Oryzias latipes: one gene and its partners. The protein of the gene in region 3 interacts with the protein of the main gene of each other region in a pairwise test. Links are inferred from orthologs where the notes say so. Each region holds a gene or a part of one and is shown on either strand. Other genes may lie near its edges. The genes, in order: nvl, heterogeneous nuclear ribonucleoprotein D0-like and heat shock protein beta-1.

What was found.
Region 1: the proteins of heat shock protein beta-1 (region 3) and nvl interact in binary tests that used the Homo sapiens proteins (3 or more experiments, as listed by UniProt). The link is inferred for Oryzias latipes from reciprocal best matches to the Homo sapiens genes HSPB1 and NVL.
Region 2: the proteins of heat shock protein beta-1 (region 3) and heterogeneous nuclear ribonucleoprotein D0-like come close enough for resonance energy transfer, tested with the Homo sapiens proteins (2 studies listed by BioGRID). The link is inferred for Oryzias latipes from reciprocal best matches to the Homo sapiens genes HSPB1 and HNRNPD.

Annotation. Positions count from the first base shown.
Region 1 is NC_019873.2:379,699-383,456, reverse strand, and holds the start of nvl (nuclear valosin-containing protein-like), read left to right. Parts: upstream 1-1,428; 5' UTR 1,429-1,532; exon of another isoform or gene 1,533-1,694; intron 1,695-2,352; 5' UTR 2,353-2,374; coding exon 2,375-2,431; intron 2,432-3,758. UniProt on the Homo sapiens protein: Participates in the assembly of the telomerase holoenzyme and effecting of telomerase activity via its interaction with TERT. Involved in both early and late stages of the pre-rRNA processing pathways.
Region 2 is NC_019870.2:2,825,236-2,828,913, reverse strand, and holds the start of heterogeneous nuclear ribonucleoprotein D0-like, read left to right. Parts: upstream 1-782; 5' UTR 783-1,143; coding exon 1,144-1,310; intron 1,311-2,402; coding exon 2,403-2,571; intron 2,572-3,230; coding exon 3,231-3,392; intron 3,393-3,678. UniProt on the Homo sapiens protein: Binds with high affinity to RNA molecules that contain AU-rich elements (AREs) found within the 3'-UTR of many proto-oncogenes and cytokine mRNAs.
Region 3 is NC_019870.2:13,682,117-13,684,781, reverse strand, and holds heat shock protein beta-1, read left to right. Parts: upstream 1-820; 5' UTR 821-1,013; coding exon 1,014-1,386; intron 1,387-1,455; coding exon 1,456-1,519; intron 1,520-1,611; coding exon 1,612-1,771; 3' UTR 1,772-2,095; downstream 2,096-2,665. UniProt on the Homo sapiens protein: Small heat shock protein which functions as a molecular chaperone probably maintaining denatured proteins in a folding-competent state. Plays a role in stress resistance and actin organization.

The DNA of each region.
Region 1 (3,758 bases), on a different chromosome or scaffold from region 3:
ATCACTGTGGCCCACGTGCACATGTGCATTGGACCTCCTTTCAGTTGTCATCTTCATTAGAAAACTGTTATCTTCATGTCTTTGAAGCTGTGGATGAATTCTCATGTATTTGAAGGACATTTCAGTCAGATGTATCTATTAAATCTTAATATAAGGATACCTGCAGGTATGTGTACGTCTCTGATTTGCCCTTTGTCTTTCATTGAAATGGGTTCTGCTGGAAGTCACCCCACTCCTTGTTCACCCTTAGTTCCAAAGGCAGTCTGTTGTTTCTTTATAAAGGTCTTCATGTTTAGCAGCTTTTCTGAACTTTAATCTAAACTAAATTTGCAGATCAATGGTATGTCCCAGACTGATCCATCAGCTGCTGCTCCAGAAATTAATGAGCACTGTAGAGCTGCGTACACGCCGAACGCAAGTCGTGCGGCAGGGGCAGCCAGTTTGTTTTATGGTAAGTCAATGGTACAGCCGTGATTTTAGGTACTGCGGCGCAATTTGAGCTTCGGGTGCAGCACAAAGGTCTGGCTGCGCTGCCAGACGTCTGAATTTTTTTCAGGGTGCTGCGTCGCATCTACCAATCAGGAACTTGTTCTTTGGCACGTGACGTTTTCAGTTAATCGATTGAGAAGCCCCTGGCTGCAGTGTTTAGACAGAGGCGTGCCTCAACGTTTAACTCCGCCCACTGTATGTGATTTTTCGTCACAGTAAAGGTTGTCATTCCAAAATACAAAGTGTCTCATCTTTGTGAAGCTTCTTCAGTCATTAATGATCTGCTCTGTTTAGGAGAAAATCCTCTCAGTTCTCAGGTGCAGGTCGGTTGTGGATCCAGTTCTAGATGGAATTGTTTTCTTGCAGACTCAAAATTCTCTTTTCACATCATCAATTAAAGTGAAGTGCTCCCAGATTTGGCTTGTTTTTCCAGGATGAGGAGGGTGGTGTGTTTGTCAACTGAGCAGAAGCAGGGAATACAGATGCGGGAAAAAATGAATTGCATAGTCTAGTCTAGTGTAAGTCTATGTGATATATTTATATGATTGACACATCACCGTTCAGTCTGCCCGTAGCCATGAAGAAAAACGGCTGGTTTTTTTTCTCTAAAAAACCCCTCAAAGTCTTTATATCCAAAAATCAAAATAAATATTTTACTAAATTAAAAAAAATGTAAATGGCGAGCCTTAATATAATCATCTCAAGATACACTCCTGAATCTGGGAGGTGGCAATATTTCACCACGTGGAAACGCAAAATGGAGAAAAACACAGCAATTGCAGTGAAGAAAAATAACCTACAGTGGGAGGAGCACGACAACGCATTTAACCCCGCCCCACGTTGAGCCACACCTCGGCAGCCAGGGGCTTCTCCACCAGCCTGTGGAGTGTGGCGTACTAATAGGTCTTACTCACACTCCTTACCAGTAGGTGGCGGTAATGCCCCTCAACGCTGTGTGCCATACGCCAAAAAACACCAGAAGAAGGCCGAGCTTCCAGGCGCTGTCGGCTATTGCCTTCTTTTCTGGGGGTTCACGTGCCAAGGTAACGTCCTGCGACCCATGTGGTGAACGAAAGCTGGACCATTAAACCTCAAGTTCGGTTTCTTTCCCTCTCAGAAAGTGGGTCGGGTTTTTTTGCTGCCTTTAGTAATGTACGTAACGTCACTTAACGAACAGCACGAGGAGGACGGAGCATCGAAGTGAGGTATGTTCATGATCATGTCATGGACACGGTCCATCAGAGCCCTGAGGGGTTTTAACGAAGCCTTTGCGTGTACGTCGTGAGCTTTTCCTACCCGCATATTATTCTAGATAAAGCCACCCAACTGTCCTTATCAGATAAACTTACCTGAATGAAGGATGTAAAGTCGTAAAGACAGCAGGGTACAGTACAATCAACCAGATTGATCTGAGATCAAATCGACCTATATTTTCAAAATGAAATGCATCGATAATCGAATCCTCTTGGAAAATACTATCTAGATTGAGGCATGGTAGGTTTATTTTACTACAACACACATGTGATGTCATTAACACGGATCCGTCCATCATTCCAGTCCAGTGTGTGGACAGACTTTGAATAAAGTCATGTGACCATCCAGTGTCTAGAATGTTCTAGAATGTTCCCTTTGGATTCTTTGGATGTGGAAAAACAACAAAGGGGAACTTTAGGAAACTAACATGTGAATGGATTTGACATTTATTTTTACATTCATTCAAGTCAAAGCAGAACGGCTGAGATGTCGATTGATCAATCATTTTGCATAAACTGATGGATCTCTGCTGAACAGAGACTCTTTTTGTTGGTTATTTCTGATATTATGTTTGTTGGATTTTAACTTTTCTGAGTTTACTTCTTTCAGTTGTGAGGTTTCTGATGAGAAGATGAAGAACAAAAGTAGTGGCTGGACGGACAGCCGCCTCAGGCAGCGGGTGGAGCAGGTATAGACCCCACCTATCACAGCCTTGTTTGCTCCCATGGTAGATTGCAGAAGAAATATCCAGAGCTTTTCTACCTTGAGTAAGGCCCACAGCTCTTACTGTTAAGGACCCATTCACCAAAATGCACACACTCATTCACACTAGGGGTGTCCTGATCAGATGTTTTTGGGCCCAATGCAGTTCCAAGTCATATGACTCTGAGTATCTGCCGATACCGAGTCCTGATCCGATAGTTCTGTAACACATTAAAAAAAACGAACAAATTTAATAAACAGATGATTTTTTTTTTCTTTTCTTAACCTTTTTTTACCTATTAACACTTAAACATAGAATTTCTGTAAAGTAACTCTACAATCAAGTAGGAATAGTGTAACTATCAAGTAGTAAAAATAGGTTACTATTACCTAGTAAAAACTGGTGATATTTAGTCATGTGGAGAAAGTGTGACTTTAAAGTGACTTTAGCTTTAGTATCTGCAGAACTATTGAACATTTTTGATCAGATGTGATTCATATCTCCATTAAAATTTGTAAAAAACATTTTCTTTAACAATTGTAGCATAAATATGATGATGAGTATTAATGTCAATGAAACCATTTATTAGTTTTGGTTGTACTTTCTAGACAACATAGGATTCTTTTTGAACGTCTTAAGACCAGACATCAACATGCGTGGACATCACATTTTGGGTTTTATTACCAAAGCCATTAATTGTGCTTAACAGGACCCCAAGAAGAGAAATAAAAAGGATTGGGTCTTCAGGGGTTAAATGACCTTCTCCCACAGGAGTGTCTCACTGAGTCTGTTTTGGCACCACAGAGTGCCGTTTCTATTAAAAAGAAGCAAAAAATCTCTTAACATGCTTTGTTGGTTGCTTTTTGTGTTAAGACCACTCAATATAGACACTTGTCGTCAGTTTAAAACGTTTTTTGAAAAGGTTTTAATCCCAGAAGTCTGAATCTGTGAATATCTTACTAGTTTAGCTTATATTATGTTAGCCTAGCTAAGCTTAGCTGTTTTTGAGCAAACTAGCACCACAATAAATGTGCTGATCTGTTCATGATATGCAGACTTCCAGTAGAGCATTTACCTGGAATATGAAGCCTGAAATATAAAGCGCTGATAACAGGAATAAATTAAATGTCTGATACTGTTCAAGCTACAACATCCAATTTTGATCGAGTCATCAACCATGTGACCGGGCCCGATTTTCAATCAGGTGATCGGATTCACACTAAATGAAGGCAGGTCTTCCGTCAAGTCACTAACCAGACCAAAAAAGGTATTGTGGGGTTCAGTGTCCTGTTCAATGACACCACTACACACA
Region 2 (3,678 bases), about 11 Mb from region 3:
ATAAATCAGGTATAAAACTGTTTTTTTGCACATTTTAAAAGCTAAATGTAATATTTTTTTACAACTTTTTGAAGCCTTTGTTTATCATTATATATGAAAATTGTTGAATTATTTTTCACAATTGTACAACTTTCTTCTCACAAATTAGATTTTTCTTCATAACTGTATGACTTTGTTCTCATGTTGTACAAACTAATGCTCCTAACTTTTAACTTTATTTAATAATTGTATGACTTTATTTTCATACATATGTCTTTTTTTCTTCTTTGATGGTGTCCCTGATGCGCCATCATGAGTGTCAGTGTTAGTATGATTTTTGATTTTGATAAAGTTTTTCTTCTGGTTGCTCGTTTGCTGAGCAGTTTTCCTTTCCTTTCATTTCAATTTCAGAATTTTATTTTTGTTTTTGTTGCCTAGCATTTTTAAACAAAACAATCAAATATAGAGTTGGTCATGCTTTTTATTTATTTATGTATGTATGTATTGATTGATTGATTGGTTTCTCCTAAAACCATTTCCATTATTTTGGAGAGAAAAAAAGGTCCAATACTAAAAGTCTTTCATATTTAGATTTAGAACTGTATCTAAAGATTTTTAAGATGAAGATAATTGGATCTTGGAAAATTAGGCTCAAAACTAAAACAACAAATCTCTTTATTTATTTATTAATAAGAGAACAATTCATTTGAATAAAGTCCCTTTTAAAAAATGTAAAATATTCAATTATTTACAAATTACCCTGGTGTTACATCTCCGCTGCAGCAGGTGGCGCTCTGCACTCAAATGCTCACTTGGGATTCGCAGAAGTAGACAAACAAGAAACGACTGGCAAGAAAACTAAAATATCGGATGAAAAAATATCCTTTAAAATTATTAGAACTGAAAGAAAATTATATTTAGAGATCAAGGCGTTTTCTTTATCTATTTAAATTTTGAGATAACTTCGAATAAGTTGAGCTAGCCTCGTCCTGTTTTTGAACATCGGCTTTTGTTATTTGTTATCTGTTAGCAGCTAGCAACTATCTTGGCTGTTAGCTTAAAATAAATCGAATTTTTTTTGGCTCAAAATTACTTTTGATTTTTTTTTTTCCGAAAATCATTTCATTAGAACTAGCATTTGATCTTTTCGAGAAAAAAGTGAAGATGTCTGAGGATTATGAATTTAGCGAAGACCCGAGTATGATGAGGATGGAGGAGGATGGAGAGGCTAACAATGACGACCCCATGTCAGCTCAGGGGGATGGCGGCCTGATGGGGGACGAGGCCGAGGGATCAAGGATCGACGCCAGCAAAAACGAAGAAGATGAAGGGTAAGTTTATCCGCGCGGGGAGCCTTTCATACAAACATACTCCCAGAGAGACTTCTGGGACATACAGCTCGGATGACCGGGAAAGCTCCTGCACGGTTATCCACGGCACTGTTGATCCATGGACGCACATTTGTTGTAGTTATTTTCAAATTGTTTTATATTTGCGGCAACGTTTGGTGAGTTCCAAAAATGTATTGGCGTTTATTTTGATTAGGATTATACCGTTTTAGCTAAATAAAAAAAACCTGTCTTTTTGTAAGACTTAGTTTCTGCAGAGCGGCGGGAGTTTATTAGAAATTCACCTCTAAATTGTGGGCGGGACCATTGGCACAGACCCCCCCCCCCCCCCATCACCCTAACTGAGAGGTCTCTATTCACAAGCCCTCCTGCTAGCTTATGGCTTCTCACAACCCCAAGCTACCATTAGCGGGGCAACAAATTCAGATCCAGATTCCAGCTCAGACGAGGAAAACAAAGCTTTGCAGATGGATCTATTAGTCTGTATGTAAGTGGATGCATTAGAATGGAGAGGAGCAGGGAGGTTGTGGCCCCGCCCAGCGTGTTTTTTCTACATCACAAATATGATCTTTTTCAAACTCTTCGTCTGCCCCTGATGCACAACGATTTGAATAAAGAAATACTCAGAAACACAGTCTAAGCTTAATTTTACCATAAATGTCGTCCATCATCAGAAAAATGCTACAAGAACATGCTAAAAATACCCCAAACACCTTTTTCATTAGTGGGTCTTTGAAGTTCATTTGAAAGTTTCTTTGTTTGTTTCGGGGAGCAGCAATTAACTGTGGCTAAAAAACACAATAGAAAAACATAATTTACATAAAAACATAAATTAAAAAAAAGGAAAAGCTGCCAAATTTGACCCTGTGGGTTCTTCGGGGTCATATAAAAACAAAGAGGCTTTCTTCAGTTCTTTCTGTTTCACTTCTTTCATCACACTGTTCACTCGTTTTATATTTTATGAATGAAAATGCCAGCAGCAACCCGAGGAAAGATTCTTATAGTTAGGACTTGGGTCACAACAAACACAAACTTATACCACGGATCTCCTTCCAAATGTTTTTTTGCTGGCAGGAAGATGTTTGTTGGAGGCCTGAGCTGGGACACCACGAAGAAAGACCTGAAAGATTACTTTGCAAAGTTCGGGGAGGTGGTAGACTGCACATTAAAGCTGGACCCCATGACCGGACGCTCCAGGGGCTTCGGCTTTGTGCTCTTCAAAGACGCCGAAAGTGTGGAAAAGGTTCGATTCTGTTCAATACCTAAATGTTGTTTTTACTGGGGTGGTGTTGAAAAAAACAGTCTGATCTAATCAAATGTCTCTCAGATCAAGGAAATTTTCTTGTAAGCACTGTCTTCTGTTTTGACTTTTTTAAAAAGCAGCTTTTTATTTTTTATTTTTCAAGAATTTCAAACATTCAAGAATTTATTCATAAAACGTTCACCTTTGTTCAGTTTAAATCAACAGATACGTGCAGATTAACTTAACTCATTTAAAAAAAGTTTGTTTCACAACTTTTTTGAAATAAATACATATTTGTTCGAATCACACTGAATTGACAATAAATCAGTGAAGCAGTTTAACATTTAACTGTTTCAGCTCCAAGTTCGTCTTTTATTTTGGAGGCTTAGTCATTTCCTTCATGCGAAAAAAAGCAATAATATTATTTATCAAATAAATTCAGAAGATTTCAGACAAACTCATGAGTGAACACGTCAGCCTTTTGAAATATTTCTTTACGTTTGATGTTGTTATGAGCAGCAGATTTCTGTGGAGACACGCCTCAACATTTTCCTTCTATATTCTGTTTCTAATTATTACATCAGCTTTGATTTTTTTCTTGTTGTTGTTGTGTCATTTAGTGAGTTTTATTTATGTATTTGCTGCTTTCTGTTCTGAAGGTGGCGTCACAGAAGGAACATAAACTCAACGGAAAAGTCATCGACCCTAAAAAAGCCAAGGCCATGAAGAGCAAGGAGCCGGTGAAGAAAGTCTTCGTTGGTGGTTTGTCTCCAGACACCCCAGAGGAGAAGGTCCGAGAGTACTTTGGTGCCTTTGGAGAGGTTCGTGTCGTTTTTTTTTTTACTCAGCTTAAACCAGTTTTTATCCTTTGACACACTTGATTTACTCTTTTTATTTATGAACTTTCAGAAGTTTTGCGTCCAATTTGAGACCTAAAGCGTAACTGCAGACCCTAAACTGTGTAATTCTTCTGTATTTTTCTTTAATTCTCGTCATTAAATGTTGCACTCTCGGCTTCTGTGCTTTTGTGAAAAACGCTCTCAGGGGTTTTCAGGTTTATTTTTTCATTTTGCTCTTTTATTTTGAAACTTGCTCTGACAGGAGGAC
Region 3 (2,665 bases):
TTAACTCTGGGTTATTTCCAAGAATTTTTGGATTTACAACTGAAGAGCGTTTTCCTTTCGATGACCCTAAAACACCTTTAAACTGATCTATGCTCATATTTTCATTGATTGCACACTTTAGACTTTTTTATATTCATTAGTAAACTAGCAATAGCACAGCTAAACTTCAGGCAATATTTTCTTTTAACATGTGCTTAATAACATTCTTAAGCAGACTGACATCAAGTCTGTTGTAACCTGGTGTGTCAAACATTAAAACCTGATAAACAATGAAATGTTTATGAGCAGAGTTCAGAAATATTCACGTTGCCTCCCTGATAAATGCCATTCCTCAGATAATTTATCTCACTCAAGCTCGGTTTATTTTTTGAACCCATGAAGATGTTTCTGTGAAATTCCACACCAGCTCCAGAACTCCATAGTCTTTCTCTCCATCTGTTTTTACCAGCTGTAAACACGTCTTTATCTTCTTCACCCTGAGATCCTGTTTGCTCTGCAGTTTTGCTCTTAAGTTAAGTTGGGAGGCTAAAAGCAACGCTTGTGTTTACCGTTTGACTTTTTGTGTGCTGCTTCACATGCAGCTGTGGTTTCGGTGGACAAAGAGCTCCAGTATGTGACGGGACTGCAGAGGCCATGGCTGAATGACACGACTTCTCCCTGCTTCCAGAATCATTCCCCAACAACTTACCGGAGACACTCAAAAGATATAAATACACATAATTGGCATTGTCCTCTCCGAGTCCCAGGGCAACAGGAGAGTTGACGCCCCGGCCCATCACATTTCATCCCTTACATCACACTTGTTAAAGCACAAGTGTGAAGAGGAGGCCGTTGGTTATATAAAGCGTGTGAGTGGATTGCTGCGGACTCCAAAATAGGCTTTTCCCCAAACCTCCTGCTTACTTACAGTTTTTGAGTTTCGTTTTGGTTGGTCTGATCTCGTCTTGCATTTTTCTGTCAGGTGGGAGCAAGAGCTTTTATTTTCAGTCTCCTTTTCTTGAGTTTTGAACCACATGGGTGATCAAAATAAAACACTATCCCGGCCCATATTCCGTCGAGATGTCCGCTGGGATCCTTTCCCAAACTGGACTCAGCCAAGCCGTATTTTTGCCCAGGACTTCGGCATTCCTCCTTTCCTGGAGCCCAATGATCTGGACTGGCTTGACTGGGCAAAAAAGAGACTGGCTTCTTTCTCCTGGCCGGGTTACACGCAAAGCCCCCTCCTGCCTCCCATCACGCCGGACCAGAAGAGTCTGAGACAACTGACTAGCGGTGTGTCTGAGGTGAGAACGGGGCAAAACAGCTGGAAGATCAACCTGGACGTCAATCATTTTTCACCCGAAGAGATCTCCATCAGCACAAAGGATGGCTACTTGCAAATATCAGGTACGTAGGCTTAATTTTTTTTCATTTTATACATAAAGATGTTTATTAATAATTACTGTTTTTTTTAAGGAACTCATGAAGAAAAGCAAGATGAACACAGTTTGGTTTCAAGATGTTTCACTCGTAAATACAAGTAAGGAGGCTGAGAAGCAAATTCGAGACACATTTAGGATGCGACCGTAACATATTTCTGTTTGTGACAAACGTTCTCTCATTTTTTTCGAGGTTACCACAAGGGGTGAATCTGCAGCACATCAGCTCATCCCTGTCCTCAGAAGGAATGTTGTCCGTAGAAGCTCCCGTCCCAGGAACATCCATCAGCAGCCCGGACAATGAGATCGTCATCCCCGTTCAGACCAAAAAGACACAGGACAGTGAGAAATGAACATAGTGAGCAGAAAGTAGCTCAAACTGTGCATAGCAGCAATTATTAAAATTACACAAAGCAGACTAGATTGCTTAAATTTAATGTTATCATTTGCTTTTTGGGAGATTTGAGACTTTTATAATCTAATTTAAACTTAATAAAAAGCAGAAATGGTATTGGATCCAATAAAACAAACCCTTGCTGTCCTTTTTAATTTTGTAATTTTGCACTAAAATTTTGTTTACTATAAACTGGTCTTTATCTTACTGTTCTTGTAGAATGATTGTATTATGCAATTTCAGCCTTCACAATGAAACAGAAATAAAATTTGGTAAAAATACATTTCTTTCACAGATTGTGGTTTTGTCACAATATTCATTCTTGCAGCTCAAACTTTTTTTTAACATGAAAACTTACACCTAAAAACAGGTCAGAGGTCACCAATTTTTTACAACCCATAATAACTAACAGTATATTGTAAGGATCAATATTTTAGGCAAGGACACGGAAAAAAGAATAGACAAAAAAAGTCTTTTTGTAGCTGTGCAGCAAAAATTTACTGTTACTAAATTTAAAACGGTGTGAAGTATGATATTGTTTGTACGAGGTTTCTGAAAATATTATATCATTACCTTGTAAAACAGTTTTAACTGCAAATTTAATAAAGATTTAAAGACTTAACTTAATTTTTTTACCTCTTAAAAACTCTACCTTAATTTGGGGGAAATGGAGACAGCACTCCAAAGTTATATAAAACAAAAATAAAACAAATCTAATATTAATAAAAAGACAAACTTAAAATTAAATTAGTTTTGCTCTTTCCCCCCCCTTTAAAGTTCTCTTTAAGTACAAAAGGTCAAAGTTCACTATTTATGCTGATCTTGATTTTAGCAAATTATCTATACAACACCA